Pelodiscus sinensis: one gene and its partners. The protein of the gene in region 3 interacts with the protein of the main gene of each other region in a pairwise test. Links are inferred from orthologs where the notes say so. Each region holds a gene or a part of one and is shown on either strand. Other genes may lie near its edges. The genes, in order: WDR4, MOB3C, FAM118A and ATOX1.

The links.
Region 1: the proteins of FAM118A (region 3) and WDR4 interact in binary tests that used the Homo sapiens proteins (3 or more experiments, as listed by UniProt). The two-hybrid records come from large-scale screens. The link is inferred for Pelodiscus sinensis from reciprocal best matches to the Homo sapiens genes FAM118A and WDR4.
Region 2: the proteins of FAM118A (region 3) and MOB3C interact in binary tests that used the Homo sapiens proteins (3 or more experiments, as listed by UniProt). The link is inferred for Pelodiscus sinensis from reciprocal best matches to the Homo sapiens genes FAM118A and MOB3C.
Region 4: the proteins of FAM118A (region 3) and ATOX1 interact in binary tests that used the Homo sapiens proteins (3 or more experiments, as listed by UniProt). The two-hybrid records come from large-scale screens. The link is inferred for Pelodiscus sinensis from reciprocal best matches to the Homo sapiens genes FAM118A and ATOX1.

The regions. Positions count from the first base shown.
Region 1 is NC_134711.1:190,828,861-190,836,332, forward strand, and holds the start of WDR4 (tRNA (guanine-N(7)-)-methyltransferase non-catalytic subunit WDR4), read right to left. Parts: upstream 3,015-7,472; 5' UTR 2,938-3,014; coding exon 2,828-2,937; intron 1-2,827. Other genes in the region: NDUFV3 (NADH dehydrogenase [ubiquinone] flavoprotein 3, mitochondrial), read left to right, coding at 4,179-4,229. UniProt on the Homo sapiens protein: Non-catalytic component of the METTL1-WDR4 methyltransferase complex required for the formation of N(7)-methylguanine in a subset of RNA species, such as tRNAs, mRNAs and microRNAs (miRNAs).
Region 2 is NC_134719.1:3,779,860-3,787,709, reverse strand, and holds the start of MOB3C (MOB kinase activator 3C), read left to right. Parts: upstream 1-4,840; 5' UTR 4,841-5,129; intron 5,130-5,495; exon of another isoform or gene 5,496-7,850. UniProt on the Homo sapiens protein: May regulate the activity of kinases.
Region 3 is NC_134711.1:123,742,760-123,750,670, forward strand, and holds the start of FAM118A (protein FAM118A), read left to right. Parts: upstream 1-4,895; 5' UTR 4,896-5,043; intron 5,044-5,049; exon of another isoform or gene 5,050-5,483; intron 5,484-6,996; 5' UTR 6,997-7,004; coding exon 7,005-7,051; intron 7,052-7,911.
Region 4 is NC_134727.1:36,245,226-36,252,146, reverse strand, and holds the start of ATOX1 (copper transport protein ATOX1), read left to right. Parts: upstream 1-3,921; 5' UTR 3,922-4,058; coding exon 4,059-4,064; intron 4,065-5,788; coding exon 5,789-5,864; intron 5,865-6,921. UniProt on the Homo sapiens protein: Binds and deliver cytosolic copper to the copper ATPase proteins. May be important in cellular antioxidant defense.

The DNA of each region.
Region 1 (7,472 bases), about 67 Mb from region 3:
TAGTTTTGGACTTCGCAACATCCTCTGGCAAAGAGTTCCACAGGTTGACTGTATATTGTGTGAAGAAATAGTTCTTTTGCTTTGTTTTAAATCTGCTACTTATTTTCATTTGGTGACACCCTAGTTCTTGTGTTATGAGGATTAAATAGCACTTTTTTATTTACGTTCTCCATGCCAGTCATGGCTATATAGATTTCAATAATTTCTCTCTCTCAGACATCTCTTTTCCAAGTAAAAGAGTCCCAGTCTTATTAATCTCTCCTCATATGGAAGCCATTCCATACCCATAATCATTTTGTTGCTCCTTTTGGAAACTTTTACAATTCCCATATACAGTTTTTGAGATGGAGGGATCAATACTGCGCACAGTATTCAAGATTTGGTTGTACCATAGTTTTACAGAGAAGCAATATGGTATTTTCTGTCTTATTATCTATCCCCTTCTAAGTGATTGCCAATATTGTTTGCTTTTTTGACTGCCACTGTACTCTGAGTGGTTGTTTTCAAAGAACTGTCCACAATAGCACTCAAGAAAGAGATCTTGGAGTTAACAACTAATTTAGAGACTCCATCATTTTACATGCATTGTTGGATGTTTTTCAATGTGTATTATTTTGCATTTATCAATATTGAATTTAATCTCCCATTTTGTTTCCCAGTCACTCAGTTTTGAGCTGTCTTTTTACAGCTATTTGTAGTCTGCCTGGGACTTAATTATCTTAAGTAGTTTTGTATCATCTGCAAATTTTGCCACCTTGCTATTAACCCTTTTCCAGATCATTCAGCTAATTTAGGAATATGTTGAAAAGGCCTCAGAGCAGACCCCTGGGGGATACCACTGTTTACTAGAGACATTAGCATGTAGTCATTTATATATTTAATCGATATGCTAGGGCTTACTGGTTAATCCAAATGACTACACAGACATCTCTCCCCTTGCTGCCTCTGTATCAGAGGCCGGGGGAGGGGAGAAGGGAGGGAGGAGAGCCAGTGCCTGTAGGGAGCCAGCTTTTAAATCTGCTCCCCACATGTGCTGGTTCCTGCGGAGCTGCCTGCCCCCACTGCTCCACCCCGAAAGGCATCAGCGCAGGGGGACAATCAGGAGTCAGTCCTCAGGGAGCGCTGGTCTAAAAGCTGGCTTCCCACAAGTACTGGATCTTGCGGAGCCACCTCTCCCACACTCCACTGCCTTGCTGCTGCCTCTGATAGAGAAGCAGCAGCACAGATGGTGAGGGAGGCAGGTAGGAGCCAGTGCATGTAGAAAGCTGGTTTAAAAGCAGACTCCTCACAAGCACTGGCTCTGCGAAGCCACTTGCCCTCCTGCACTGCTGCTCCTTCCTGCACTCTTCACCTTCCATGCTGCTGCCAGCACAGGGGTGGGGGGCAGGCGGTTTTGCCAGATGTGGTGCTCCTGGGGAGCCAGCTTTCAAGCCAGCTCCCCCCAAGTACGGGCTCCTGCATGCTCCCTTCCCGCCTCCCCTGGCTGCTGCCTCTGTGGGAGGCAGAGGAAGGGGGTGAAAGCAGCACCACAGGAACCAGCACACATAGGGGCTGCGTCTAGACTGGCAAGTTTGCTGAAAAGCTTGCCAGCTGTCTACACTGGCCGCTTGAATTTCCACAAGAACACTGACTTTCTACTGTCTGAAATCAGTGCTTCTTGCGGAAAAACTATGCTGCTCCCGTTCGGGCAAAAGTCCTTTTGCGCAAAGCTTTTGCGCAAAAGGGCCAGTGTAGACAGCTCAGATTTGTTTTCCACAAAAAAGCCCTGATCGTGAAAATGGCGATCGGGGCTTTTTTGCACAAAAGAGCGTCTGGATTGGCACGGACGCTTTTCCGCAAAAAATGCTTTTGCGGAAAAGCATCCGTGCCAATCCAGACGCTCTTTTCGGCAAATGCTTTTAACGGAAAACTTTTCCATTAAAAGAATTTGCGGAAAATCATGCCAGTCTAGACGTAGCTGGGGAGTCAGTATCAGAGGCAGCAAGGAGTGTGTGTGTGCACGCATTTAGTTGTTTGAATTAACTCATAAGTCCAGGCTTATCAGCTAATTGTGTAAACCACTACATGCTAACATCCCTAAAGGTTAACCAGTAAGCATCACCCTTCATGGGTGATGCTTACCAGTTCTGATTAACCAGTGGGGACTGAAGTGCTCTCCACTCCCCAAGGGCAGGGCATTGCTGAAGCCGCGCAGGACCTGCCAGAGACAAGGCCACTCCTGTCCGCCCTGGCGAGTGGGGGGGGGGGGGGACTGGCGGGGATGGGGAGATGGGAAGCACCCATGCCTAATTGGGCTGCAGTGGCCCCTGGTTCTCTCTTTAATTGGTCAACCCATTAACCATGTTTAACCAGTTAATCAATTAATGTTAGATTCCTAGTTTCCAGTGAATGGTGCCTCTTTAATTCTGGCAGTATCCCTTTAAAAAGATACATTTAACATAACAAGGTACAAGAATAAACAGCATACTGGGTAGTAAAACAAAGGCACACACTAGTTAATAAGAATGTTTTCACGTCCAGTCGGGAATTCACCCTCAAAGCATTACTGGCTTTAAAAAGCATTGAAATGTCATCTGGGGCCATGCTGATGCTCCTGAACTCCCGGGGGCGGGGGAGGCCTTTATGCAGACATCTCATTGGAGGGGGTGGGATTTAAAGGCCGGACACAGGCAGCGGGAGCGTGTGGCCGTGTCTCGTCCCGAGCCAGCCGCTCTCCGGTTCCACGCTGAGAGAAGCCCCGGGGACGGCACAAGCCTGGCCCGGGACGGGCTCCCGGGACCATCCTCCCGGCCGCTTCCCCGGGCAGCGCCACAACCCCCGCACTGACCTGGGCTCCTGATAGCGGGCTGCTAGGAAGCGACTCCCGCCGCTGGCAGCCATCAGGCCTCCGCAGAGCGCCAGCCCCGGGCCGCGACTTCCAGCCCCCGCCGCCTCCATGCACACAGCCGCCCACGTGCGCGCCCCCAGCTGCGGCTTACCGAGCCGGCGCGGAGTGAAGACGTCACAGAGCAACACGAGCTGATTAATGACGTGATAGGAGCCCTCCCTCCCCCCGGGACTTTCTATAGGTCCTGAAACAAGTAATTCAAGCTTTGATCCTACAAAGAGGCCAGAGCTCTGCGCACAGGACCCTGCCGGCAAATCCACTGTCAAACTATGCTGAGAACTTTACGACAAAGAATGTATGGCCTTGATTGTGCCATTTCCCCATTTGTGAAATTGGGATAACGAGGTGTACTTGTACATGGGCTGCAATAATTCGTTAGTTGTTTTGAAACAGTAGTCCTACCTACTGTATGTTCTACAAAATCATTTCTGACATTTAAACAATAACACTGGATAGATACTTCAGGGGGTTCGTTACTATTCTGTACACATAGTCCTCCAAAGTAATTGATGGAACTTCAGGGGGTAGCCGAGTTAGTCTGTTACAGAAAAAAAACAGCAAGCAAATGGTCTGGTAGCACTTTATAGACTAACAAAACATGTAGATAATACTTATTTAACACTCTTATCAAAGTGCTTTTCTAATATAATAAACTATTCACTAGTGGTGGTATTTTTAAAATGTCGCTGCACCATTATGTGTAAGTTATTCCAAATTTCCAAGCCAAAATTAATTATACATAAACTATGGTGTGGCATGCTCCCTGCTACCATACTGGTTCCCTAGGAAATTAAGATCTAATCTTGCACAACACTGAATGCTGTTTGGTGTTTTGCAGGACTGCAGCCCTAGTTCTTTCCAGTGCAGTTTTCTAACAGCGTGTTGTTGAAAAAAATCTTCGGGACTGGCACTAGCCATGGGACAGGACAGCCCTGGGGCGGAAGCACAGGCCTGGGGAAGGATCATATGACCGCAGCATCAGAAGTGCCAGGCTGGAGTTGTTGCCCGTTTCACTGGCCGCGCCCTCGAGCAGGTCCCTCGCGCTCCGCACTGTGTGTGTGCGGGGGGGGGGGGGGGGCTGCGAGGGTTCCCCCGCCGCCAGCAGCTCTTGCGCGGGGCGGGGACGAGGGGGCCTGGCACGTCGGGCGGTGGGCGGGGCAACGGCAACGCAGCCACTAAGGGGCGAGGTCCGCGCACCGAAGCCCCACCCAGCCCGCGGAGACGCTCGAGCCAGGCCGCCCCAGGGCTCGGTACCTTTGCTGCGGGGGCCGCGTTTCCGCGGGGCACAGACATGGCGGCCGCCGCCTCGCTGCTGGGCTGCGGCCGGGCTGTGACTCGCAAGGTGAGTGGCGGGGACGATGCTCTCCCGGGGGTGGGGTAAGATGCGCGCGCACACCTGTCTCTCCCCCGCCCCGGGACCGGCTCGCGCTAGCGGGGCTTCCCGTTCTAATCAACCCCTAACGGGGTGGGGGGGGGGGTGTTGAGGCTCTTGCTTGGGGCGCACGCGCCGCCACTCAGCCACGCCCCACGCACGCACAGATTCTAGGGGCCACTGACTCCGCCCGGGAGTGGGGAGGACGAGGACAGCGGCAACCACGCATGCGCCAGGATTCTGTCGCCAGTCCCACGGAATCTGTGTAGCTGAGTGCGGGGGGGACTAGTGCGCATGCGTTGGCGCCTCACCTTCCCAGAGGCTGCCCGTACACAAGACGGCGCCGCCCTGTAGATGCTGCGCATGCGCTGTTGGTGTCTGAGGTTTGGGCGTGGTTCGTGCAGCTGAGCAGGGCTCAGGCCTGGGCTGACACCAGGAGCCAGGGAGGGCCTGTGGCTGCCCCCCTTGTACTGGGCAGGCAGGTGGTGCTGTGGCAGGAGAGACCTCTCTGCTCTGGAGCCCTGCCTGGGGCTAAGAGCATGGAGCTGCGCTGGCACTAAGTGCCACTGGCTGGGTTGCTGTGGCCCAGTGCCTGGCTGTGCTCAGGCCTCCCTCTGCAACCGGGAAATGTTTCCCTGCCAATCAATATCCATTGAAACTTCAGCTTTTCAGAACATTCCAGCCAGTCTGTCTGGCAGCCACCTCAATAGCCAGGGCTGCTGCTGTCCCTCCTAGTGGAGTCTGGGATCTATGCCTGGTCACACCGTTCCAGGAGAGAAAAGTGTGTCTAATGCAGCATAGCCTTCCTGGTGAAGACAAGGCCCAGGCAGGCAGGGTTTCATTTAATACAATCTGCTGGAATGGTACTTGAAAATTGTTTCAAACGTATATAAGTAGGTTTGGAAGGATTAGATTTTTACCAGTAAATATCAATTTCACTTCATACACAAACCAGTGAAAAATATTTCCATTGATAATAATCAATATTCAGCAAGAAAGTAATAAAAATGTGGCCTGAGAACTTATTACAGTAAAAAACTGCAGTAGTTTAGGTTTTTAAAGTAGGCGTGTTACAAATGGACTAGTGAATAGTAAAAAACAGGTATGATTTAAGATATCCCTTCTCGACCTTTTTTCTCTAAGATGAAGTAATTTTTAAGGTGATGAAGACAATTTGGCTATGTCTACACTCGTGGCTTCTTGCGCAAGTACAGTCATTCTTGTGCAAGAATCTGTAGAGTGTCCACACTGCCCGCTTGCTCTTGCGCAAGGAAATTTACAATATGGCATGGTAATAGAGGGCTCCTTGCGCAAGAGTTATGCTCTTTTATCAGGTGTAAGACCTCTTGCGCAAGAGGGCAGCGTGGACGCTCAGTAGGGATTTCTTGCACAAGAAAGCCATATGGCTAAAACAGTCATCAGAGCTTTCTTGCGCAAGAGAGCGTCCACACTCAGCGGTGGATATAGGGCAGGGCGAGCGGGGCAGCTGCCCCAGGCTCCGTGCTTCAAGAGGCCCCGCGCACGCTACGTCCGGTTAGCTGCTGCTGAGGCGCATGCACAAAATTGTGTCTCCCTGGGCCCCGCAAAATTATCATCTGCCCCTGTCCACACTGCCATGGGAGCTCTTGCGCAAAAGCACAGCATGCACATGGCAGTGTGGATGTTTTCTTGCGCAAGACTTCTTACACAAGAACCCTTGTGCAAGATGTTCTTGTGCAAGAAGCCGCCAGTGTAGACATAGCCCCAGTGTTTTAATTAAGGATGTAAAGGAGTCGATTAATTAACTCCTCGTATTCTTCCCCCCCCCTTGCTGCCAAAGGCAGCAAGGTTGGGGGGGGGGGGGGCAGCAGGAGCAGGTGTTGGGGGAAACTGGTTAAAAAGCCAGTTACCTCTAGTACCATCTCCACAGCACCACTTGCCCTGTCCCATCAGAGGCAGCAGTGCAGGGGAGCCAGGAGAGGCTACTCCAACAGCAGCCCCTGTCCATGATACAAATTGTATCAACTACACGATTACCTGCCTTTTAACATCCTTAGATTTAATGGTTAATAAACTTATTTTTTTCATTTCAACTAGGGATGTTAAAAAGTGTTTAAATAGTCAACAGGATAAACATATTGCATTTTAAAGTTAAACTGGTTAACTGCCTATCCTGCTTCAGCCGCTCTGACACAGCTGGGGGAGGAGTCCTGGAAGCTTGCCCAGCCAAATTGAACCACAAATGTTGGGGGTGGGGCCACATTTGTGGTTGGAGTCACCCCGGGCCTCCCCTACATAGCCAGGGCCAGGACACCATCCTGTTGCGGTTGGGGCCAGAATCCCTCTAGGCTGCTCCCCTGTAGTTGGGGCTGGGATGCTGCTGTCCTCCCATCCCCCTCCCATAGCCAAGGGCTCCTTCGGTCTGGGGGGGAGAAGCCCCCACCTGTGGGGTGCCCAGCTGCTCCAGCCCCCACTGGTTAGCCTTAACTAGTAAGGCACATCCATTTAGGGTGATGCCTGATGATTAACTGGTTAAACTTTCACATCCCTAATCTCCGCATCTGTTGTCTTTAAATATTGTTCATTCCAGTTTCCTGCAACGATGAAAATTTAAATCATTATAACCTCCCATAATTTTGCACTACTGTAAAAAATTAAATCAATAATAGAAATAAAAAATGCTTACCAATAAACATCAGTATTGTCTGTAAATTATGAAAATAGACTTCTGTCAATCCTACTTGGGAGCTCTAATGTGCTTCTTTGCAACCAGTCTTGCATATTTCTGCATAACAACACAAGAAACAGATCAAGAAACGAAAACAAATCTCATGCTTCAAAAAATAATCCGACTATAACTGGTACCAGAAGGAAAATCTTACACATTCATACTATACGTCATTTTACATTTGACTGTTTAAAGTGATTTTTGCCTTTCTCTAACAAGTAGTGGCTACTGTCTGACTCTGGTCTAGATAGGTACATGATCCATTCCCAGATCGCAACTTCGGTTGTATGTCCATCAGAGATAGTTGTGGGGGGGCGGGGGGGGGGGGGGGGAAGAACCACTGTGCAAATTTTGGCTTGGAAGGATTAGATTTTTCTCAGAAAATATCAATGTCAGTTTACTCGCACAAACCGAATTATTTCTATTGATGATCGAAATATGCAGATAGGCAAAGTAAGAAATTTATTTAAATGTATTCATTTAAGGATATACTTTGTATATTTTGG
Region 2 (7,850 bases), on a different chromosome or scaffold from region 3:
TGGGACTCAAGCTGCATAGAAACCTGTTTGTGTCTCTAGCTGTCGTCGATTGCTTTAGTAAGTGCCTCCTGTAGCTGTTAACCAAATGAACAAGATCCAACATGATATGAAGTAGAGTCCATATTTGGGGGACTAGGGCCCAGTAGGGCTAAAACTTATGTAGGTGACTTGCCTGCATAAGTCTCTGCAGGGCTGGGCCCTCTCTGTTGAAGGTGAACTGTACATTGGACACTTAAGTCACATATTGGCTGTCCACGAGGAACATGTAACCTTCAAGCCCTCTGCAAAGGATGAAAGCAGCATGTGGAAAACATCAGTGCCTGCAAACCTCAAATTTAATGCAAAAAAATCAACCGCCCCCACCCCCTGCTTTGTGAGGGACAAGCAGCAGGACGGAAGTGCTGGAGAAAGCCATATGATTTAATGGCTCTCCAAAAAGGACTGTGGAGATAGTGCCAAACCCTCAATCAGCGTGAACTGGCGTGACTCTGTTGACTTGAGTGGAGCTAAGGTGACTTGCACCAGTTTCGGGTCTGGCCTAGAGACCAAGGGTCCGGAAAAGGGAACAGACCAGGGTGTGGGGGAGGGGGAACGTGCCTTCTTGTTTCACGTTTGTTGCCTTTTCTTGAGGCACAGTTTAGAATTCAAGGCCGTGGAGGGAGGGGTGTGATTTTTTTTTTTTTTTTTTTGCTAGCTGAAGGGTCTGTGGCTTCCTGCCTCCTGGATGACTCATGTCATGTCAACAAGATTCTAAGGGGTGATGAAAAAGGGAAAGGCAAATCAAACTGCTCCGCACGTTGTTCTCTGCCCAGGGGCGGAGATGGCAGTTGAGACTCACTCTGTGCCAGGAAGGGACTGTGACATGCACAAAAACGGTGACCAGGCCCACAGGAACCCTGGTGATGCAGGCAGGCTAGGGAGCCAGGGGAGACCGTGTTGGTGACTGAGCAAAATCTGGTGCTTGAGCTGGAACTCCATTTTTACACTGTGGGGTAACACCCCAGAATTCTGAGGAATTATTCCTGAATCAGTGGGAAGTAAGATCAGAATCTACTCTGTCTTCATTGCAGGATATTACTCAGGTGACCCTGTGTTTTGTCTAGAGTTGTAGGCAAGGTACAGCTATACTGGTAAACAAGGGAGACAAAGCTGGGACTCAAGCTGCATGGAAGCCTGTTTGTGTCTCTAGCTGTAGTCAATTTCTTTAATAAATGCCTCCTGTGTAAGAATGAGTATGCTTCTATAAACCATGATAGCAAGGAGGTGACCTGACAGACGTATATAAAACAATGATGGTTTCAAGGCCAGTTGGGAACATCTTCCTCACAACGGGCATCTGATGCAGTTAGTTACTTTTAACTTAAAACTGGTGAAAGAAAGTACTTGGGAAACAATTAACTTGTGGAACTCACTGCTACATTATATCATTTTAGAGAAAAAGATGGCTCTAATGTAAAGTTGAGCTGCTACTAGTGGCAGTGGCAAGCAGAGGGATTAGATCACATATATGTTGATTACCCTCTTTAAGGAAATCTGCAGGTCAGTCTCGGGATTGGGGGCTTGTTACAGACTTGATGTACCCAATGGATGCTGACAGACCAAACGTGGCCCTAAATCTCCCTTTTATGAAATAAGGGTTTGCAGCAGCTAAGAACAGACAATTTGCCATCACTTCTCCCCCCCCCCCACACACACACAGTGAAACCCCCTTTGGCAAATACTCCCCAGCAATATTTGCTACCTGAACACTGAAGTTTTGTGCCACTACTAGGCAACCTGATGGCGAAACTGATTATAGGCAAAGGCCCAGTTGCTTTCTCTAATCTGAGCTGAGAAAAAGCAGCCAAAAGCAAACAGTGAAGGAAATTGGATGTTTTTGCCACAGAAATTGGAGGTGTCGGTAATTACATAAGAACAGAAACTTGCTGTGTGCAATTCCCAGGGCCTTCATTCTAGTTTCCTCACACCCCTACAATGCCCATATGATTTAGAGCAAGGCTGGGGAACCGAAGGCCAGGGGCCCGATGCAGCCCCCAGCTGGCCTGGGTTCAGCCCCCAAGGCTTGGGGCTCCCCCCAGTATTGGGGAGTCCACACTGGTGCTCCAGCCCCCCCCTCCATTGTTCCCCCATCGGGCTGGAACACACAAAAATCTACTAGCCTGGGACCCCCATGCTCTGGTGTGTGAGGGGAATATGGGGAGTGTTTTTCTCCTTCTTAGTCGGGGGTCGTATCGGTGAAGGGGTTTGTTTTGTTTTGTGCTTCTCACTTGTGTGTGGCCCCTGGCTGATTTTTCTGTGGGCCAGCAGCCCCCTACCCAAAGAAGGTTCCCTGCCCCTGACAGAGGCTATGTCTAGACTGCAAGCCTCTTTTGAAAGAGGCTTTTTCGAAAGATACTTTCGAAAAAGCCTCTTTCAAAAAAGAGCGTCTAGACTGCAAGCGGAACTTTCGAAAAAGCAAGCCGCTTTTTCGAAAGAGAGCACCCAGGCAGTCTGGATGCTCTCTTTCGAAAAACCCTTGTTTGCAGTCAAGAACGCCTTTTTTCGAAAGAGCACTTTCGAAAAAAGGCGTTCTTCCTCGTAAAATGAGGTTTTCCGCCATCGAAAGAAAAGCCGCGTTCTTTCGATTTAATTTCGAAAGAATGCGGCTGCAGTCTAGACGCAGGTGAAGTTTTTTCGAAAAAAGGCTACTTTTTTCGAAAAAAACCCTGAGTCTGGACACAGCCTTAGAGGCAGCTTTGGGGTTCCCCAGGAATGCAGGAGTATGCCAAGAGTTTTGAGCTCCTTTAAAGAACTTTATCATATACAAATATCAAGACCCAGTCTTGCAGACACAAATAAGCTGGAGCCAGGATCCGTTGCACTGAACTGTGGGCTCAGACCTCTATTTCGAACGTGACGTTGAAAAGAAGCAACTTCTCAGCACATTCATTGATTAAATGTTCCCGGTGGGCTAGCCCAGTAAGTAAGCTCTGCTGATCAAGAGACCAGTCTTTCTCCGGGCACGGTGATGCTTGTGCAGCTGCTCTCATCGAAGGTGAAATCCATCCGCTGATTTTCAGCAGCAGAGGGAAGGAGAATAGTTCATTTCTCTCTCTCTTCCATTCACTTTTTCACATCTACCCAGCAGGGCATAAACCGAAATCAGCTACAGGACTTGAGCTATGCCAGCGGTTCTCCAACTTGTGGGGCTCCGGAGCCATTTACATTCATAAAAATTTATGCGGCACCTAAGTTTTTCCATTAGAAGTATTTGTGCAAGAGAACGTCTATACTGGCATGTGCCTTTGCGCAAAAGATTTGCTTGTGCGCAAAAGCATCCGTGCCAGTGTAGACGCTCTCTTGCGCAAGAAAGCTCCGATGGCCATTTTAGCCATTAGGCTTTCTTGTGCAAGAAATTAACTTGGCTGTCTACACTGGCCCTCTTGTGCAAGAATACTTGCACAAGAGGGCTTATCCCTGAGCGGGAGCGTCGGAGTATTTGCGCAAGAACCACTGATTTTGTACAGTGCAAAGTCAGTGTTCTTGCACAAATACTCATGGCCAGTGTAGAGAGGTGGCAAGATTTTGCACAAAATCTTGCCAGTCTAGACGCACCCCGAGGGTTACAAGGAGTCGGAGTAAGCAGTCCAACAGCTAAACGTTATTTTGGCACTGTCGAAAGAACTGCTTGTGTGTAGACATGGACTGTGTTGTGTGTAGACATGGACTGTGTTATGTGAGAATAAGAAGGAGAATATCTTATTGCCCTTCTATAAATCCACGGTACGCCCACATCTTGAATACTACGTACAGAGGTGGTCTCATCTCAAAAAAGATATCCTGGCATTAGAGAAGGTTCAGAGAAGGGCAACTAAAATGATTAGGGGTTTGGAACGGGTCCCATATGAGGAGAGATTAAAGAGACTGGGATTTTTCAGCTTGGTGACTAAAGTTATTTACGTGTTTCCATAATATAAGAACTAGGGGCCACTAAATGAAATTAATGGGCATCAGGTTTAAAATAAATAAAAGGAAGTTCTTCACACAGTGCATAGTCAATCTGTGGAACTCCTTGCCTGAGGAGGTTGTGAAGGCTAGGACTGGAACAGGATTTAAAAGAGAACTAGATAAATTCATGGAGGTTAAGTACATTAATGGCTATTAGCCAGGGTGGGTAAGGAATGGTGTCCTAGCTTCTGTGTGTCAGAAGGTGGAGATGAATGGCAGGAGAGAGACGCTTGATCATTACCCGTTCGGTTCACTCCCTCTGGGGCATCTGGCATTGGCCACTGTGGGCAGACGGGATACTGGGCTGGATGGACCTTTGGTCTGATCCAGTATGGCCGTTCTTATGTTCTTATTTTGGAATAGCATCCGTTATTCCGAAACAACGCTGCTGTGGACACAGCCTTGGAGAGCTAAACCGTCGCTTGTAGTATTCCTTCATATCTCTGTGGACTAGAGCCAACTAGAGGAAGGACACATAAGCCAAAGGAGATATTGCAGCATCAAAGCCCGAAGGACATACTCACACAGCTAAAAGCACCACAGAGTCAGGGAACAAGGTGGGTGAGGCGATATCTTTTATTGGAACAACTTCTGTCGGTGACCGAGATAAGTTTTCGAGCTTACCCAGGGCTTGTCTTCCGGTCTGGCTCCTGGCATCACAGTTAAATACAAGGCAGAACTGATTATTTAGCATTGGTAGGGAGCCGTTATTACCACACCCCCGGGTCTCTCATATCCTGGGACTCACAGCTACCACAATGCCACAGAGAGGAAACAGGAGACAGACAGATTGAGGCGTGAGGGGGGCAGGGCGAGCCACAACTTTCTTTTGTGTGTGTGTGTGTGTGTGTGTGTGTGTGTGTGTGTGTGTGTGTGTGTGTGTCAGTCAGTTATTGCTCAGGCAGCTGTACTTCTAGACACTCTCAGGATATGACATCATTGGGAGGGGAGAAAAAGATTAGGCAGAGTTTCTTTCATGAAAACCCCAGAAAGGGCTGGTGCGTGTGTGAGTTTTTCCCTGACTCTGGGAACTCAGGACTAAACGGAGGACGCTCGGAAGAAATCCGGAGGACCTAGCTAGCTGACCTGTCCATACCCGCGGGGGACAGTTGCTCTCCAATTCAGATCAGGTCTGGAGTTAGGTGAGTGTTTGTTTGGTTTTATAAAACTTTCCTGAAGAAGTTTCTGGCTTGCTCTGAGAATAACTGTCTGCAGCTCCCCCTCCAGCCTCACACTTTCCCTTCTAGCCTGCCCTGTGTCCCAGCCCCACGGGGGACAAGAGCAAATGCAGCAAGTGGATTAATTCCCCCAACTTCTGACCCCAGGAATGAAGTTGCTGCTGGTCCATTTTATAGGGTGGGGAGAGGAGGCATTTCAGAAGCTGGCTGCTGCCAACTAGAGTCAGCTGGACGATATTTAGTGACCCTCCCCCATATTTTGTGTGTCCGGGGCGAGCGTAAGGAACCAGCTAAGCGGGGGGGAGGAGGGAGAGTAGCACATATAGAGAGGGGAAGCGCATGTGGCTTTCTGAGCAGACGAGCGGAGTCAATGTGACTTCCTGGAGCAGATGAGGAGCCAAAACAGCCAACGTTTGGAAGCCGTATCCTGTGTTTTTCAGAATTTGGACCGGGGCCAGTTGCCACTGCAAGGCGAAGCTGACAGGGGTCTGGGAGATGAAATGCGCTGGGCGTGTGGGTAGAGCTGTGCAGTTAAACCTCCAGAGCTGGTGGCGTGAGGGAGGAAACGGCATGTTCTAGAAGCTGGTCCGTACAGAGACCGGGCAGAGCTTGGCTTTGGCCCGAGGATGAGTTGTAGGCGGCTGCTGTGTTGTGCTTTTGGGGTTATGTCTGAGCCTCACATGGGAGCTGCGCACGTGGAAACCTTCTGGGGTAGGGCCTCTATGGCAACCCTTACTAAGGGCTGAGCGAAGAGCACGAGCGTCTCCCCAGTTCCATCAGAGCGGCCATATTGGGTCAAACCAAAGGTCCATCTAGCCCAGTATCCTCAGTGGCCAATGCCAGGTGCCCCAGAGGCAGTGAACAGACGAGGGAATCATCACGTGATCCCTTTCCTGTCACCCCTTTCCAGCCTCTGACCAGCAGAGGTCAGGGACACCGTCCCTACCCACGGGTGTTGGCTCATATCCTCTAGCTAGCAGCAGTGGTAGACCTGTGTCCTCTGTGAATCAGGCAGAGGGAGGAACCTGCAACACACGCTGGCTAGGGAGCTACATCTCCCTTCTGTTATTTGCATAAGAGGGTCGGTCTAGTGAAAGGAAGGCTGTCTCCGTGGTGACCGGGTTCAATCCCTCCTCTGCCACAGACTGCCCATGTGACCGTGGGCAAGTCACTTAGCCTCTCTGTGCAATGGGGGTAATCACCCTGCCCTGCCTCACAGAGGGGCGGGAAGGAGGAAGACATGGTTTCTATGGTGACAGGGCCAAGATAGACTGGAGCCCCACAAGGATAGACGAACCCCACAAGGAGGCGTGTTGGGAGACGCATGCTAAGAGGGTGTTGGAGGAGCAGCAGCAGCTGAGGTGGGTGATGCCAGGCCCACAGTGGGCTAGCCCTGGGCAGAGCGATGGGCCAGCCAGTAACACCAGTTCAGGGCAAGGGGACTGAGAGGCAGGCAGATGTGACAGTGAAGGGAGAAGCAGGCTGCCAGGCAGTGGAGGTGCAAGCACCAGGGAGGGGTTGCCTGGCAGTGGGCAGTGAGCAAGACCAGCAGGGGCCGGTGTCTGGAAGCAGGACTTTGCACGGCTGGAGTATTGTGCACCAGGGGACCGAAGGCAGTTGCCAAGTCCTTGGTGGACAATCTTCTCCCACGGCTCAGCTGGGGCTCCCTGTCCGAGCTCCCTCTCCCACGGTAGTGCGCTTTGGCCTCTCCCACAGCCCTTCACACCCCGGCCTGTTAACTCCCCCTCCCAGCGAGACACTTGGAACGTCTCCTGGAATTTTCCATCATTCATAGTTGGGATCCGCGGCCAGTAACCCCGTTCCTCCCCAGCAGCACAGCTGGGTTGGGTCTTCAGCCGAAAGCAAAACCAGCCCCGTTTGAAGAGCACTGTGTTCCTGGGACCATTTTAAAATATAATCATTTCATGGCTCCTTCGATGAGTTCAACTCAAAGGCCGGACAAGGACAGGGCAGAGATAGCGGACTATCGGGGAGAGAATTTGAGATCTGTTTCCAGCTATGCAGCTCTTTGTAGCACGGTTGCGCGACGAGGCTCCAACCCAGCAAATCCATATGCTCACACTTAACTTGAAGCGTCTCTGTCCCATGGACTGCAGTGGCATTACTAATGCGATAGGCTGTGTGCTTTACAGCAGTGATGTAACCCGCACACCTGCTGGGCGTGGGGCACTCCTCAGAGCCCAAATAATAATCGTTAATACACAGGGCCGGCCCACAACATTTTGGCACCTGAGGCGGGGAGCTCAAAGGACGCCCACATGTCCCCTTGCTTGGGACAAAACTTTGAAAGGTCTCAATTCTGCCTTCTTCCTGTCCTACTCCTCTCATGGGACTGCTCTGCTACCTACCCCGATAAAGGAGAACTAACAACTTAAAATGCCTTGTTCAGCAGCAGCAGACACAATTTTCTACACTCTGAGTCCTGAGGGCGCCCCCCTGCCACAGTCTGGCACCTGAGGCAGCTGCCTCAGTTTCCCTCATAGTAAGGACAGCCCTGTTAATACAGTGGCAGGTAGGTTGATTGGACACCTGGCCGGAGAGGTTAAGAACCAAACTAAAGATCTCAAGTGTATCCTTTTTGAACTTCCCCTAGCAGCTTCCCCTTAGACTCTGCCGATGCTCTTCGGCTATCAATGTGTCAGCAGGGGCTTTTTCTCTTTTCCT
Region 3 (7,911 bases):
GTCTCCCTGGTCTGCTGGGGGGAGCCCCCCAGCAGACCAGGGAGACGCGGAGCAAAGCCTTGGAGGACCCGGGCGGCGGGACCGCAGCGCGTCTGGGCGGTCCCGCAGCCCGCGTCCTCCGGGGCCAGAAAAGCCCCGTTTGTAAGTACGGATCTGACGTAAGTCGGAGCCGCGTAACTCGGGGACTGCCTGTATCTAAAAGCCTATTTCTCCATGTAGACTGTAGGAACTTTCAGATTATAGTTATGGAATTTGGATATTTTCAAGGAGTCTTAAAGGAATGTTAAGGTGAAAAATCACAGGCACCATTATGATACTCTAGTTTAAGCTCCTGCATAACATCTAGGAACTTCTGCATTAAGTAAATCACTTAGTTTAAGATATAGCATGAGGTATGGTGATGTGCCCTGTCTAAGGGAGGGTTTGTATGGGATTTTGAGGTGAGCTGTCTTGTGAGAATCATATATGGTTCTCATCAATCATAGGTGCTTCTCTAGCTAGGGCTTTAAGTAGGGCTATCACTTAATCTCATTTAACTCACACAATTAATAATAATAGTGAGTTAAAAAGGTAATCATGATTAATTACAGTTTTAATCACACTGTTAAAAATAGAATGCCAAATGGAATGTATTAAATATATTTTTTTAAACATTTTAAAATACATTGATTTCAATTACAAGACAGAATACAAAGTGCATGGTGCTCACTTTATATTATTACAAATATCTTTGTCTGTATAAGTTTTGGAAACTGAAGGGTATGCATGTGTTCATTTTAAACAAAATGTGGATTGGAAAGTAGGTATGCCTAAAGAAGCATAGAACAGTCTAGAAAAGGCCAAGGGAAGGGAGGTGAACTCAATGGCTATATCTAGACTGGCATGATTTTCCGCAAATGCTTTTAACGGAAAAGTTTTTCCATTAAAAGCACCATTTTCACCATCGGGGCTTTTTTGCGCAAAACGGTTCTCAGTTGTCTACACTGGCCTTCTTGCGCAAAAGTATTTGCGCAAGAGAGCTTTTGCCCGAACGAGAGCAGCATAGTATTTCCTCAATACACTGACAATCTTACATGACATTGTTAGTGTTCTTGAAGAAATTCAAGCGGCCAGTGTAGACAGCTGGCAAGTTTTTCCGGAAAAACTTGCCAATCTAGACACAGCCAACATGTATAGTGGAGAAGTACTAGCATGTGACAAACAAAGCCATATATGGAAAGGTTGAATCTGATTGTCATGTGCTTCTTGCTTGAGGGGCTCTGGCTGATTTTAGTACCAGGGGCTGTGCCTTTGTGCACATTGAATAAAGTCTTGTTGAATTGAATTGAAATATTGAAGACCCTTGATTCTGCCCAGCATCTGACTCTCTGGGAACCACAAAAATCCCAACAGAAACAAATTAAGACTTTAATGGAGTTGCCCTGTATATGATCTGTCTGAATGTGGCTCTTGAACTCACTGCGTGGTACAAAGCAATGAATGGTCAGTTGAGTATCATACCTCTCTCTCTTCTTCCTCCTCCCCCACTTTTCTCACCTTGCTTCCCTCTTGGGTTTAGTCAGAGGTAACTAACTGGTGAACACCTCCATTGTACTGCTCTTTTCCAGTTATGTTTAGCTTTCCCTGTTTCCCAAGGACTCTGCTGTCACTGAATTCCTCAGCTATAACAACAGTTCTTAGCCTTCACTGTCTACTACTTAAGAGAGAACTCTTCTCATTTCAACACATTATGCCTTTCTCTTACTGTGCCTCTTGTTACTGAACTTTACATTTCTTTTTACCATTTCTGTCTCTGGTATGCATATACCTTAGTGAAAATGCAGGAACCAATTGCAAGACTGTGAAAGCTACTTTAAAGCTCTCCCTAATACCATTAGTGTATAGGTATGGAAGGGGAATATCTTAAAAACATTTGTCTTTGGCTAATTTTCTAGCTCTATGCACAGGATGCACAGTGCCTATATAATGTAGTCCTCTGTTTATTACTTTTTAAAGTAATGTAAAACAAGAAAAGAAAGTACTGTAAACTAGGCAGGGGTCACAATCTTGAGTCCAGGAAAATATTTAGAAAGCATCTGTAACTCTTATATTAGCAAAATATTATTAGACTCTCAGCATATTATTTAGAGATAGTAAAGTTCCAGTTTTCTAACCATTCAATGTCAAATGGAGTTTCATGAACAGTGACACTGGGTTCCAGGCAGGGCTGGCGACCGATTCACTGGACCCTGGAGAATATGCATGGGGACATTAGCGCCAGATTCCCCAGGAGGGACATGGGCTCATGTGGAAGGGGCAGGGCTAGGAGGCAGCCTCCTCCAGCTATCCCTCAATGTAGACTGGACTGCACCACATGGCATTCTGGCAGCAATTTAAAGGGCTCAGCGCTCGAGCTGCTGCCTATAGCAACCCAGAGCCCCAGATCCTTCTAAATCACCAGGCCCTGCCGCTCTGGTCCCAGGCATAGTAACGTGAATTACAGTGTGGATTGTCACCAGCTTCTATGTGAGGTGACATAGATTGTTGACCTGGAGGTTTACTCAGGCATATTAATATGGTACAAATACTCTTCTGATTCACCTGAGACCAGAGTGGAGAAGTGGCCTCAATTTTTGCACAACCCCAAATTAAACCAAACATTTCTTTTTCAGATGACAATAGGTTTAGCTACATTCTCTTCCCAACAGACATTGGGTTTTCTCTATGATCTTATTTTCAGGCTGCTGGAGCGGTAGGGGGTAGGTGGCTTAGGGCAGAGTTCAGGGGCAGGGAGCTTAGGGCAGAGGGTTGGGAGGTGTGTGGGGGGAGCTCACTGCAGGGGGAGGGAATGCATAAGTCAAGGCAGGTGGAAGGTGCAGGACTCAGGGCAAGAGGCTAAACACAGGGTGGTGGGGGAGGGCTTACTGGGGCCAACCGTAGTGGTGAAGGTGGTGCAACTCCCATAGTGACTCCTCCCAGGGGACCATGGCAGAACTCTCCTGCCAGCAGGACCCCCCCAATTACCCTCCTCCACAGCCTGCAGGTTGTTGGGGGGAGGAGGGGATGAGGTTCCAGCAGCAGCAGACCCCTCCAGCTGTACCTCCCTCTTCCCATGCAGCCTCTCTGAGGGAGAGCCAGCTCCAGAGACTACCACCCCCTCTGCCCTGGTCTGCAGGCTGCCTGAAGGGGTGGGAGTGAGTCTTCAGGGGCTGCTCCCCTCCTGCAGCGCCCTCTCTATGGCCTGGAGTCTGTTTGGGGAGAGGCCAAGCTTTGAAGGCTTCCTACCCTCCAGCGGCTTCCCCGCAGCCTGCAAACTCTTCATGGTGATGGTAGGCTCCCGCTTTGGGGCATGAGGGCTCTTTACCAATATGCTGGCAAGGGGAACCCCAGCCCTGCTGGCCACTCTCTTGGTGCTGCAGCTGCCACAAATGGCCACTCTCAGTATCACAACCTGTCCCCTAGCTCTGTAGCCAGACAGGAATCCCCCGCCCTGTAATATCCATCTTGCTTACCCCTCTTAGGTGCTTGGAGCATACAGGGCACACAGAGCAGTAAGATCAGCATAGTCTTTGAAGCCTTGACAGAAGGCCTGGATATGCTGGCTGTTGTGACCCTGGATGGCTATAAAGAGATACTCCAATTGTTGACCTCGAGGCTGCGAGAACTGCCTTGGCTGGCACCTATATTGATACAAACACACAGCTGTCCGCGGGGGGAGGAATCTCCCGCCCAGTAAAGAATGTCCAGTACTCTCTCTCTTGCAAGTGTAAATTAAGTTGAAACTCCCTTGTAAGAACTGGCGTCACAAAGACGGACCAACACAATTTGGCATCTTAGATAAGAAAGAGGATACAGGCCCCTATGGGTATAAAGATGGGTTCAGCAGCCCACACTCTGAGCATCAATCTACCATCTATCTGCTGGTCGGGTTAGGTGATTGGCCTCCTGAGGTTCCACGGGGACGCCCATCTCGTATTTGTCTTTCCTAGGAATTGAGGGACCAGCCCTGGCCTGACATGCTGGAGTCGAGAGGCACAGAAGGGGGTAAAAATTGTACCTGGATGTGTCCTTTGTCTTAAGCGTACACATAGACTTAGAGCTCTTTAAAGATTAAGCTGTCACTTGGTACCATTATTTCTATTTTCTATCTTTATTTTCTTTGTAACCATTTTTAAGATCTATATTTGCTAGCAGTTAAGAAATAGAGCAATAGCCATTGTAACCATAGGATTTATAAGCTTCTTTAATAAACCTGTAACTGTTTAAGCTTTAACCTGACTCCTTCAGTTGCTGTAACAGAACCAAGTACAATTTAAAAGAACTCCAGCCGGTCATAGGGAGCAGACACAGGGCAGAGCTGGGCATTTGGACCGTGTCGCTTCCAGGGGACAGACCTCGGTTCTAGCAGCTAGACTTGGGTGTAATAAGCTCTCCCTGCAAACTTTGGGGTGTCTGTCAGCCTGTTGGCTGCCCGCCGCGAAGGGACCCCGGTCCTAGCGGTCAAAGACAGGGATGTAAAACTTCTCAGGGCGCCCATCAGCCTCCCCTAAGGCCGCTCTCTGCGACAGGACCTCATGTCCTAGCAGTTGAAGACTTGGGTGTATAACGCCCAGGCACACGCGCTGCCCTGACCATGGGCTGACATGCCCCCTCCCGTGCCATGTCCCGGATCACACTCCCGTCCCGGCTCTTCCCCTTTCCCAGGCACCGCCGACTGGGTTCGCTGAGGGCGAGAGGAAGCTGCACAGCAAACTGGGTGGCCGGTTAGCGCGCGCTGCACCGCAAGGCGGGGAGAAACGCGCTGCGAAGGGGGGGGGGTGCTGCAGGGTATTTAAAAGCAGCCGGGACGGGGCGAATCGCCCTAGGGAGGAGGGGGGGGGGCGGAGCCCTGGCGCGAGGCGGCTTCCCGGCGGGGGGGGGGCGGGGCGTGTTTGGGAGACACCAGCCGGGTGGGCGAAGGCCGCGGGGCGAGAGCTGAGCAGCTGGCTCCGCCCCCGGCCGGAGGGGTAAAGCCGAGAGCGAGGCCGGCGCGCGCGCAGAGAGAGCGGCGCTGGAGCCCAGCAGGTTTGTGGGCGCGCGGGCGGGGGCGTTACCGGCCGCCTCAGGCGCTGCCCGGAGCCGTTGCTGCCCGCGCGCAACTCCCAAGCCGGTGGTAGGAGGGCGGGGGGAGACTCGCTGCTGCTGCGCGGAGCTCTCCTGCCCGAGCTCGGGAAAGGGGTCAACGGTCACGGATCAAAATAGCAACGCTCCCCCCTGGCGCGTGCCTGGCCGGCTGCATCGGCACCTCCGCGGTGCTTTCTTGGGGGAGCAGAAAAATAATCCTCTGCCGGAGCCGCAGATCCCTTGGGCAGGGAGCGCGCTGGGGTTTCATGCGCGGATTAAAAAGGGGGAGCGTGGACTAGCGCGCCAGAACCGGAAGGGACCCCAGAGGGCATCACGTCCAGTCCCCTGCCCTCGCGGCAGGACCGGTTAAGGTCTTGATTAGGGTTGGACAATAATTTTTGGTAAGGGACCACTCCAAGATTTTTGGGAAATGGTGAAGGGCCTCGCTTTTCTGTGCCGGAAATACCGGGGCTAGGATGGAGGTTGGGTGCAGAAGGGCGAACGGGGTAAGGGACTGGGGTGCAGGAGATGGTGTGAGAGCTGAGAGGGAGTTTGGGTCAGGGAGTGGGGTGTAGGGTCAGGGAGCAAGTGCCAGTGCAGGAAAGGATTCTGGCCTTGGGGAGGGGCTCTAGGAGAAGGTGCAAAGTCTGGAAGGGAATTTTGATCTGGGAAATGGGGGTGCAAAGTAGGAGGGTTTGGATGATGACCTGAAGCTGGGGAATGGGGTGCAAGATTGGGGAGGGGATACAGGCACAGGACAGGCTTCTGACTTGGCAGAAGGGTGTAGGAGGGGGTATGGGAAGGAGTTGTAATCTAGGGGAAGAGGGTGCAGAGGGTTTGGATGCTGACCTGTGGGAGGGAGTTGGCATGCAGGAGGGGCAGAGGTGCCAGAGGCAGACTCTAGCTGGAAGGCACTTACCTAAGCATCTCCTGGCCAGCAGCCCTGCCGCACTTCCAAGGCAGACTAGACTCAAGCCCCAGATCACTTAATATTGCAGGCTGTTCTCTTCAGGTGACTCTCAGCCACTGCTCCCATTTCCCCCATTGCTGAAGGAGCATAAATGTATGGTATTTTTGAAAAGTATTGATTATCTTTTAAAATGCTTCTAAATTACAAGTTTCTTATGTACCTTTGTTTTATAATTGTTTCTTTTGACATCTCTGGCTTATCACTCATATACAGTAAAAATATCTTTAGAGAAGTGAAGGCAAGATGGTGCATGTGGGGGTTATTTAAAGAAAATAAATGTAACTATCTAAATAGGTATTTTGACTTGTGCTTTCTTAAGCTGAATTTGAACTTCTTAAATAAAGCGAATAACACTGAAGAGCTGTTATTTTCCTTTTCTGTATCATGTTTGGTTTTTTACAATTTACAGATTCGGTGGTAAGCATTTGTTAATGGGATTATTTTTTAAGATTTGAAACCCATCTAACATTCTTGAGCAGTTAAATATATTTTCATTTGACTCTTTTACAGTTGCCGTAAATGAGGAAGGGTGTGTGTGTTGTGTATGAGTGTTTGGAAAGCAGAAAAGTTGCACACTTAAATGAACAGCTTTTTCTCCACTTGCCACACAGATTTGGAGTTAAGGGAAGCATATATATATATATATATATATATATATATGACTTTGAAAAATTGCATTCTGTCTTATTGGATCTAGATATAGGGCAGATTGTTAGCTGGTGTAAATTTTCATAGCTCTACTTAAATCAGTTGACAACTTGAAATCAGAGTTCATCATTACATTAGTTTTACTTTCTGTGAGAAGTCTCTCACACATTGTTAATTTAATAAATTGAAAAAAGCTAAGAAACTGTCAAATACAACAACATTTAATTTTGATAGTAATGGGGCATTTTTTTATGTAAACTGAAGTATTAAGAGTTGCTACCCTTTTTAAAAAATAGGTTCAGAGATGGAGTCAGAAGAAAGGACAACCATCAGAAGCGAACAAAAATCGAGGTAAATATAATGGTAACTAGTGTGAGAGAGATCTGGAGGGCAAGAGAAAGTAGGGGATGTCTGTTACTTGGGGATCACCCAAAGGTTAAGGTGGGAGTGAAGATGAACTTTAAAGATTCCAGATGCACCTTTGTGAAAAGGTAGAGATCATATTTGCTGCTTTAGTCTTCCAAAATTTTAGCATACTGTTTTACTTCCCTTCCTCCTTTTTTTCTTCTTCCTACTTATTTAGATTTTAATCCTCAAAATAATTCATATAGGCAGATTCTTACATTGCCTTTGAGTTCTGTAGATTTAGTGGAACTCTAGGAGAATAAGGATCCTCCCATTTGGACCCCTTTGAGGATTGGGCCTCACTATTCTGCAAAATGACATGGAACTTTTTTAAAGTATCTGTATGAGAAAGCTCAATAAGTTTGTAAACGTGCAAAAGTCAAGGACATGAACAAAAAGGATTTCTTGAGTTAATTACTGTCCTTGATGGTCTCCCTTTAAGGACAACATGAAAATATTTGCAGTATAGGCTATCACAACAGAGTAAGAACAAAATTAAGATAGAAGGTTACTGTATAAAACTACCCGATAACCCTTTCATATTTTTAAATTTTAAAAATAACAGGGGTGCTCAAAAGCATGTGAACTTTTGTAATTTTTTCCATTGCCAGCATATTTCATACTTGGTTAAGCTGTTATTGCAAAATAGGTAGCAGGTATGCCTGGAGGAAACAAACCGTTTGTGTGGGCTGTTGCAGAAAGGAGAGTATAAAAGCAGTATCTTATTTAGCGACTTGCCTAGTAGTTGCTGTACCTCAGGGAGTTGCTTATAGATTCAGCTAATGTGACCTAGAAAGATCCCATGT
Region 4 (6,921 bases), on a different chromosome or scaffold from region 3:
GGGAGGGGGAGCAAGGGTAACACCTGACCCTATAGCCAGGACTTAATGCCTCTTGTTCCCCTAGCAGGCAGCCACTGTATGAATCTCCTTCCCTAGTTTCTTGCAGGGAGATTTACAGTCACTAGGCTGGCATTATGCCATCCTCAGCATTAATATTCCCCCCCCGCTTTTTTTTTTTTTTTTTTTTACTATTTATATCCTGAGCCACATTGCAAGCTGCCAGCTCATAGATCAGTAGCAAGGCCTTTGCAGAGTTTAGTACAAGCCAAGGGGCAGCCGTGTAAAATAACCCTGCCCCACAGCTGGGAGGACAAACAGCAGAGAGGCCCACAGCAGCACGGTCTCTCAGATAACCCCCACGCTTGCGGAAAGGGTCACATCAGCACCTACTTTTACAGCACTGAAACAAGATGCCATTTCTACGTGCAGCGAAATGGCATCGGCTCTGACCCCGGTGCTACCGTGCCTCAAGGCGGGTATCATCTTCCACCCGGCCTCCCCAGAGGTGGGCCCATGCCCAGCTAACTTAGCGAGAGGGAACATCAGGACGGGCAACTGGAACCTGCTGCTCAGCATGATGCAAAGTACAACTGCGTTAAGAAGCCATTTCACTTGCTCTGGCCAAGGCCTGCATGGGACACTCGCTATTTCAGGGTATTTATCCAACTGAAACTTGGTGCGCTTCACAGGGAGACAGGCATGCAGTGGTGAGCTGCTGTCCATAACTCCCTCCCGCTACCCTTGATTGCTGTCTTGTCCCACCCAAGGCACCTCATTCCTGACCTGCCGCAGGCCAGTTACTCCAGTCCTCAACTGCCCGAGCAAGCCAGTTCATCTATTCTGACCTGCTGCGCCCCCTTCCTATTCCAGTTCTGGGCTGCTCAGACAGTTCTACTGATGCCTCTCAATCCTGATACATCCCCCTACTTCTACACAAGTCCTGGGGTGGCTACACAACAGCCTATGCCCGTGGGTCCCATGCGCAGCGCCTCCTCCCCAGCACACCCTACTCTCAGATTTACAAAGTAGATTGTTTCCACTCCACTGCTTCAAAAGATTAGTTCACTACCGTGTACTGGCATGGAGTGAGGGGTGGGGAGCAGGACAGGCATCACCACCTCGCTACCAGAATTTGGAAGACACTTGCAGTTCCACACAGGCTCGAAGGTAGACAAACCTCCGGGAAGTCACTTTCACCTGACCGATTCTAGAGCCAAAAAAACCAGACCACGTTAGGCTCACGGGCTATGTCTACACTGGTGGCTTCTTGAGCAAGAACATCTTGCACAAGGGTTCTTGTGCAAGAAGTCTTGCACAAGAAAACGTCCACACTGCCATGTGCGAGCTGTGCTTTTGCGCAAGAGCGCCCATGGCAGTGTGGACGCTCTCTTGCGCACGAAAGCTCCGATGGCCATTTTAGCCATAGGGCTTTCTTGCGCAAGAAATCCCTGCCGAGTGTCCACACTGCCCTCTTGCGCAAGAGCTCCTGCGCAAGAGGGCTTACACTCTTTTTTATCAGGTGTATCACTTGTGCAAGAAGCCCTCTCTTACTATGCCGTACTGTAAATTTCCTTGCTCAAGAGCGGGCGGGCAGTATGGACGCTCTACAGATTCTTGCGCAAGAACAGCTGTACTTGTGCCAGAAGCTGCGGGTGTAGACATAACCCCGTAGTGCTTTACCCCACACTGGTCAGGATTCTCCTGCTTACAATTTATAATCTGAAGGGGGATTTCCTGATGCAACCAAGGGAAATCGGCTCCCTCCAGCCTAGTAGCCTTCTAATCTTCATTGTTATCTCCCCTTCATTGGGACCTCACAGCCACCAGCAGACTTTTCATTCCAGAGCTAACTACTACCCCTTAATCTCCAACATGCGCATCCTTTTGTGCCCTGGATGGTGGATTTCAACAGCTGTTAAGTATCCAGCCATTGATTCAGAACTTTCCCAATTGTTTCACCAACTCTTTAACACCTCCCCTCCCCCCCACAACCCCCTTTTAAATCTCTTTTCTGCAGACTACAGCAGGTACTTCTGTTGCTCCCTCACACACATTCTTCAGCTGGGAGAAAGTCTCCTTTCCACACACCCAACCAGATTCTCAGAATCTGCACAGCTGACATCAGCTTTCACCCATTTCCTAATTAGGAGTGAAGAAAATCTGTCACGATTGAAAAGAAGATTTCTTCCTTCATCCTAACTTGTGCATTCCCTGATTTACTGTCCTATTGCAGCTCTGTAGAAAAGGGAAAGTGAATGAGTGGGGTTCCCTTTGGATTTCACCTACACTCAAGAAATTTACCAGCCTTAAGTCATTTGGTTGCCCCCCAACACACTAATGAAACATTGGATTCCCCCTGGGAAAGTGCTCCAAATATAGTTCAGATTAAACTAGCTTTCAGGAGGTCTGAATGCAGGGCAGCTTCCTCTAAACCAGTGTAATCCCAGCATGACCTGAGGGCTCAGAAACTCCAGTCCTTCCACTGTTACCTTTTCTCTCCCAGTAGCAAGTAACTTTTGCTCTCAGTCCTCCCCATTCAGTTCATCTCCACTAGGGCTTCTGGCAACTGCCCTCTGGTGGCATTTCAAAATATCCCAGAACCCACTGCTTCTGGAACAGGAACTTGCAAATGACAATGGTGCTTAGGGGAGCTCCAGCTGTAGCCTCAAGAAGCAGCGGTTCTCAACCAGGGAGCTCCTGGGGGGCTGTAAGCAGGTTTCAGGGGTGGGGTCCACCCAGCAGGGCTAGTGTTAGATTTTCTGGGGCCCAGGACAGAGGGCCGAAGCCATACTGCATGGGGTGGATGCCTCGGCCCCGCCACCTGGACTGAAGCCAAAGCCTGAGCAATGTAGCCTCAAAGGGGCCCATCCAATTGCCCTCTGCCCCAGCCCAGAGCCGCCCTTACCCTCTGCCACAGCACGGAGCCGCCCTTACCCTCTGCCCCAGCACGGAGCCCCATCCCGCCCCCAAACTCCTTCCCAGGGCCCGCATGCCTCACCTACACCCCACTAGGGATGTAAAATGTCGATTAACAGGCTAATCGAATAGTCGATGCAATCTGCATCGATTAGTCGATCAGAGGGGGAGGTGCCCTTACCGACTAAAGTGTCCCAACAGCCCCAGGCCTACACTTCAAAGGCGAAAGCGCTGCAGGGAGCGTGGAGCCGGCAGGTGACTCAAGCAGTCCCCGCTCGCCGCGGAGTTTCACAGTGGCAGCACCGCATGGATCCCGGGGCCAGTCCCCAAGAAGCACCCCCCCCCTTCCTGTCTCTTTCTGATAGAGGCAGTAAGGGGGAGGGGGAAACGACTAGTCGGTCACATCCCTGCACCCCACCCGTCTGCCCCCGCCCCCAACACCCTGAGCCCGCACCCCCACCGCTCTGCCCCAGCCCCCGGACCCCCCACCTGCCCCCACCGCTCTGCCCCAGCCCCCAGGCCCCCTCCTGCCCCAGCCCCCGGACCCCCTCCTGCCCCTCACACCTCTGCCCCAGCCCCCGGGCCCCCTCCTGCCCCAGCCCCCGGACCCCTTCCTGCCCCCCACCTCTCTGCCCCAGCCCCCGGACCCCCACCTGCCCCCACCGCTCTGCCCCAGCCCCCGGACCCCCTCCTGCCCCCCACCACTCTGCCCGGGCCCCCTCCTGCTCCAGCCCCCGGACCCCCTCCTGCCCCCCACCTCTCTGCCCCAGCCCCCGGACCCCCTCCTGCCCCCCACCGCTCTGCCCCAGCCCCCGGACCCCCTCCTGCCCCCCACCACTCTGCCCCAGCCCCCGGGCCCCCTCCTGCCCCCGCCCCCCAGCCCGGAGCCAACCCCCCCCAGATCCGCTCTGGGGGGGGGCTGCGTGGGAGGCGCGGGGCTCCCCGCTGCGTGCGCTGGGGCCGGCCCGGGGCCCCCAGCGAACCCGACCCGGCTCCGTGCGCAGCGAGCCGAGCCCCAGGGCGCCCTCCCGCGGCTCGCCGGCCGGGCAGGAGGCGGCGGGCGGGGCACGTCCGGGGGGCGGCGCCGGCCTCTTGGTGCGCGGAGCCGGGAGAGGAGCCGCGCAGACGAGCCGCCCGCTGCCATGCCGGTGGGTGGCGCCGCCCGGCCGTGCCCCGCGGGCGCTGTCTGGGCCGGCGCATCCCTTGCGCTCGGGTTCCCACGGGCTGAGCCGAAACCCGCCCGGGGTGGCCCCGATCCAGAGTCCAGCCGCCGAGCCAGGCCTCCGGCCAGGCCGGGTCCAGCCCCGCTCCGAGCGCAAAGCGGGGAAGGCTGGAGCCCGGGGCGCAGGGGGAGCTGCTGGGCGTGTGCCGGGAGGGCCCGGCGAACTCGTTCCTAGCAGCCACAGCGAGAACAGGCTGCTCCTTGGGGGAGGGGGCCTTGGGAGACAGTCCCCAGCGCAGCTTAATGGCACCTGGTTTCCTTTACCTGGGGGCCATCCGGCTTGGGGGAAGCCAGCCAGCTGCCAAACTAGCCCCTGGTTCTCCTCCAAATCCCCCCCTCCCCTTAAAAATGCTCGTTTGTTGTAGCGCCTACGAAATGCTTGGAGCCTGCTGGTGTATTGGCACCGCAGCTTCTCAGGCTGGCCAGGGATTGCTTCTGCTGGCCTGAGGGTCTGTATCCTGGGTGGTCTCTTTAGATGGGAAGTTCCTTGGGGTAGGTTGGTTCACGGTGCCCCTTATTTGTATATACCTCTTGCGGCTAGCTGGGTGCTGCATATGTTTGCCTCCAGGGGTGGGGTTCCCATCCACTAATTTTACGGAAGGATAGGTTTTTCATTTGGAGGTATCCTTTCCAAACCAGACAGCCACCCACAGCTTGGTGAAGTTTTAAAATGGCAACGGAAACGAAAATTGTTGTCTTTCTGGATGAAAATCTTCCCTTGGAGCCTGGGGAACTCAAACAGAGGGACAGAAAAGTGATAGAAATGTAGCCGTGTTAGTCTGGGGTAGTTGAAGCAAAATGCAGGACAATGTAGCACTTTAAAGACTAACAAGATGGTTTATTAGATGATGAGCTTTCGTGGGCCAGACCCACTTCCTCAGACAGAAAGTGACTAAGGGTTTGTCTGTACTTAAAACGCTCTAGCAGTGCAGCCATAGCGTAGACACTACTGTGCAGCCAGGAGCAAATCTACTGTCAGGGTAACTAATCCACCTTGTCCAGAGGTGTGGATTTTTCACACCCCAGAGTGATGTAACAGGGTTGATGTAATTTTCTAGAGCCAACCAGGCCCTAGTGTTGACAAAGCAGTGAAATGAAACCAATTGGTTTTATCATCTGAATAGCATCTAGACCACGTTAGAATGAACAAGAAAATTAGGGTTGTTTTGGTTGTACTAATTGCATGTGTTCATTAACAATACAGGGAAATAGATATTTTATGTTACTGGGAGAGTCTCTCTTAGTAGCAGCTAGAGTCCAAATTGTTTTTAACTCCATCTATGCCAGTCGGGTCCCTTTAATCATGTTTTTAAAAGTCTAGCAGTATTATGAAGAAGGATCCAGTTACACTAGGTGAGTAAGAAAAAGACAGTCCCCTCCTCAGAGAGCTAATGATCTAAGACAACACAGCAGGCGGATGCAGGTGGATTGTGGAGCCCGAGGAAACAATCAGCTAATGTTGTAACTAGATATGCCGGAGTTTGCAGAAAACTTGGTTTTATGCCAAGGGTAGGCTTGCAGGGTTTGAATTGTGACCAGAGCCAGGTAGCACAGGGGAGAGACCACCTGGCCCATGTATTGGGGTCATTGGTGACAAAGCAAGAAGGGCTCTGTGGTTGTCTCCAATCTGTTCTCTCCTCCTCATTGCAGAAACACGAGTTCTCTGTGGACATGACCTGTGAAGGGTGCTCCAACGCGGTCACACGCGTGCTTAACAAGCTGGGAGGTAGGTGACACCGCTCTGAGTCTGGGGTCGAGTGACAAGCGGATGACCACGACACGGGCTCCGTGCCCACGACTGCCCCCTTTTTACAGAGCAGTGGAAAGGCTGCTCCTTTTGTTTTACTTGCCACGCCGGAAGCCAGGTGTAGGACTGCAGGGGGATCGGCAGTTGGCTCTCCTGTAGATGGGGGTTTCCATACGAGCCTTAAGGTACCATCGGCTGCTGTGGCAATATAATGGAAACTTTAGTCCATGTCCGCTTGCGCTTGCCCCTGCCTTAAGCTAAAGATTGCGCATGGCAGCCCTTGTGTCAGAAGAACCATTCTGGCTCAAACGCTGACTGCTCGTGGTGCTGTAATAATTGTATCTGGGACGGTCACAGGCCCGTCGCGATGCCCCGTAAATGTGGACAGTGGCTGCTGTTCGCAAAGGCTCCTTTGCTTCCCCGCGTCTCTGTGGCTGCCACTGTTGCTTGCCAAGCGCTGGGTGTGGAGTCAACTAGCATCCCTGGAGTCGCTGTGTCGTGGCAAAATCAGCTGTGGTGGGGGCCGTTTTTTGGAGGCTCCATCGTGCCGGATGATGCCGTCCATGAAGAGGGGGCTGCTCTGTTGGCAGGTGACACAGCCAGCCTAAGCCCCTGCCAAGGCACAGTGTGGGGGGGGTGGCTGGATAGTGTGGCCTGGAAGAAATGGGAGATTTCTACAGAGCCATAATGTCACCCCACGTATTACAGGTTGGACCTCCCTGGTCCGGCACTCTTGGGACCTGAGTGGTCCTGAAGGAGGGATTTTGCCGGACCGGGGAGGTCATTTCGGCCCCCCAGCCCGGCTCTGGGCCTTGCCTCCCGGCAGGCTTCCCACATGCGAGCATCCCTGTTGCCCTGCCACAGCAGCCCACGGTCCTGCCGCTGGGGCTCTCAGCTTTGCCACAGCAGACCACTGCCCTGCCGCTGGTGCGCTCAGCCCTGGCAGCACCAGTCCCGCCAGCCTGCAGTCCTGGTGCCGGGACGACTCCTGCCCCTTCCTTTTCCCATCCCCCACCCATGGAAGACTGCCCTGCCA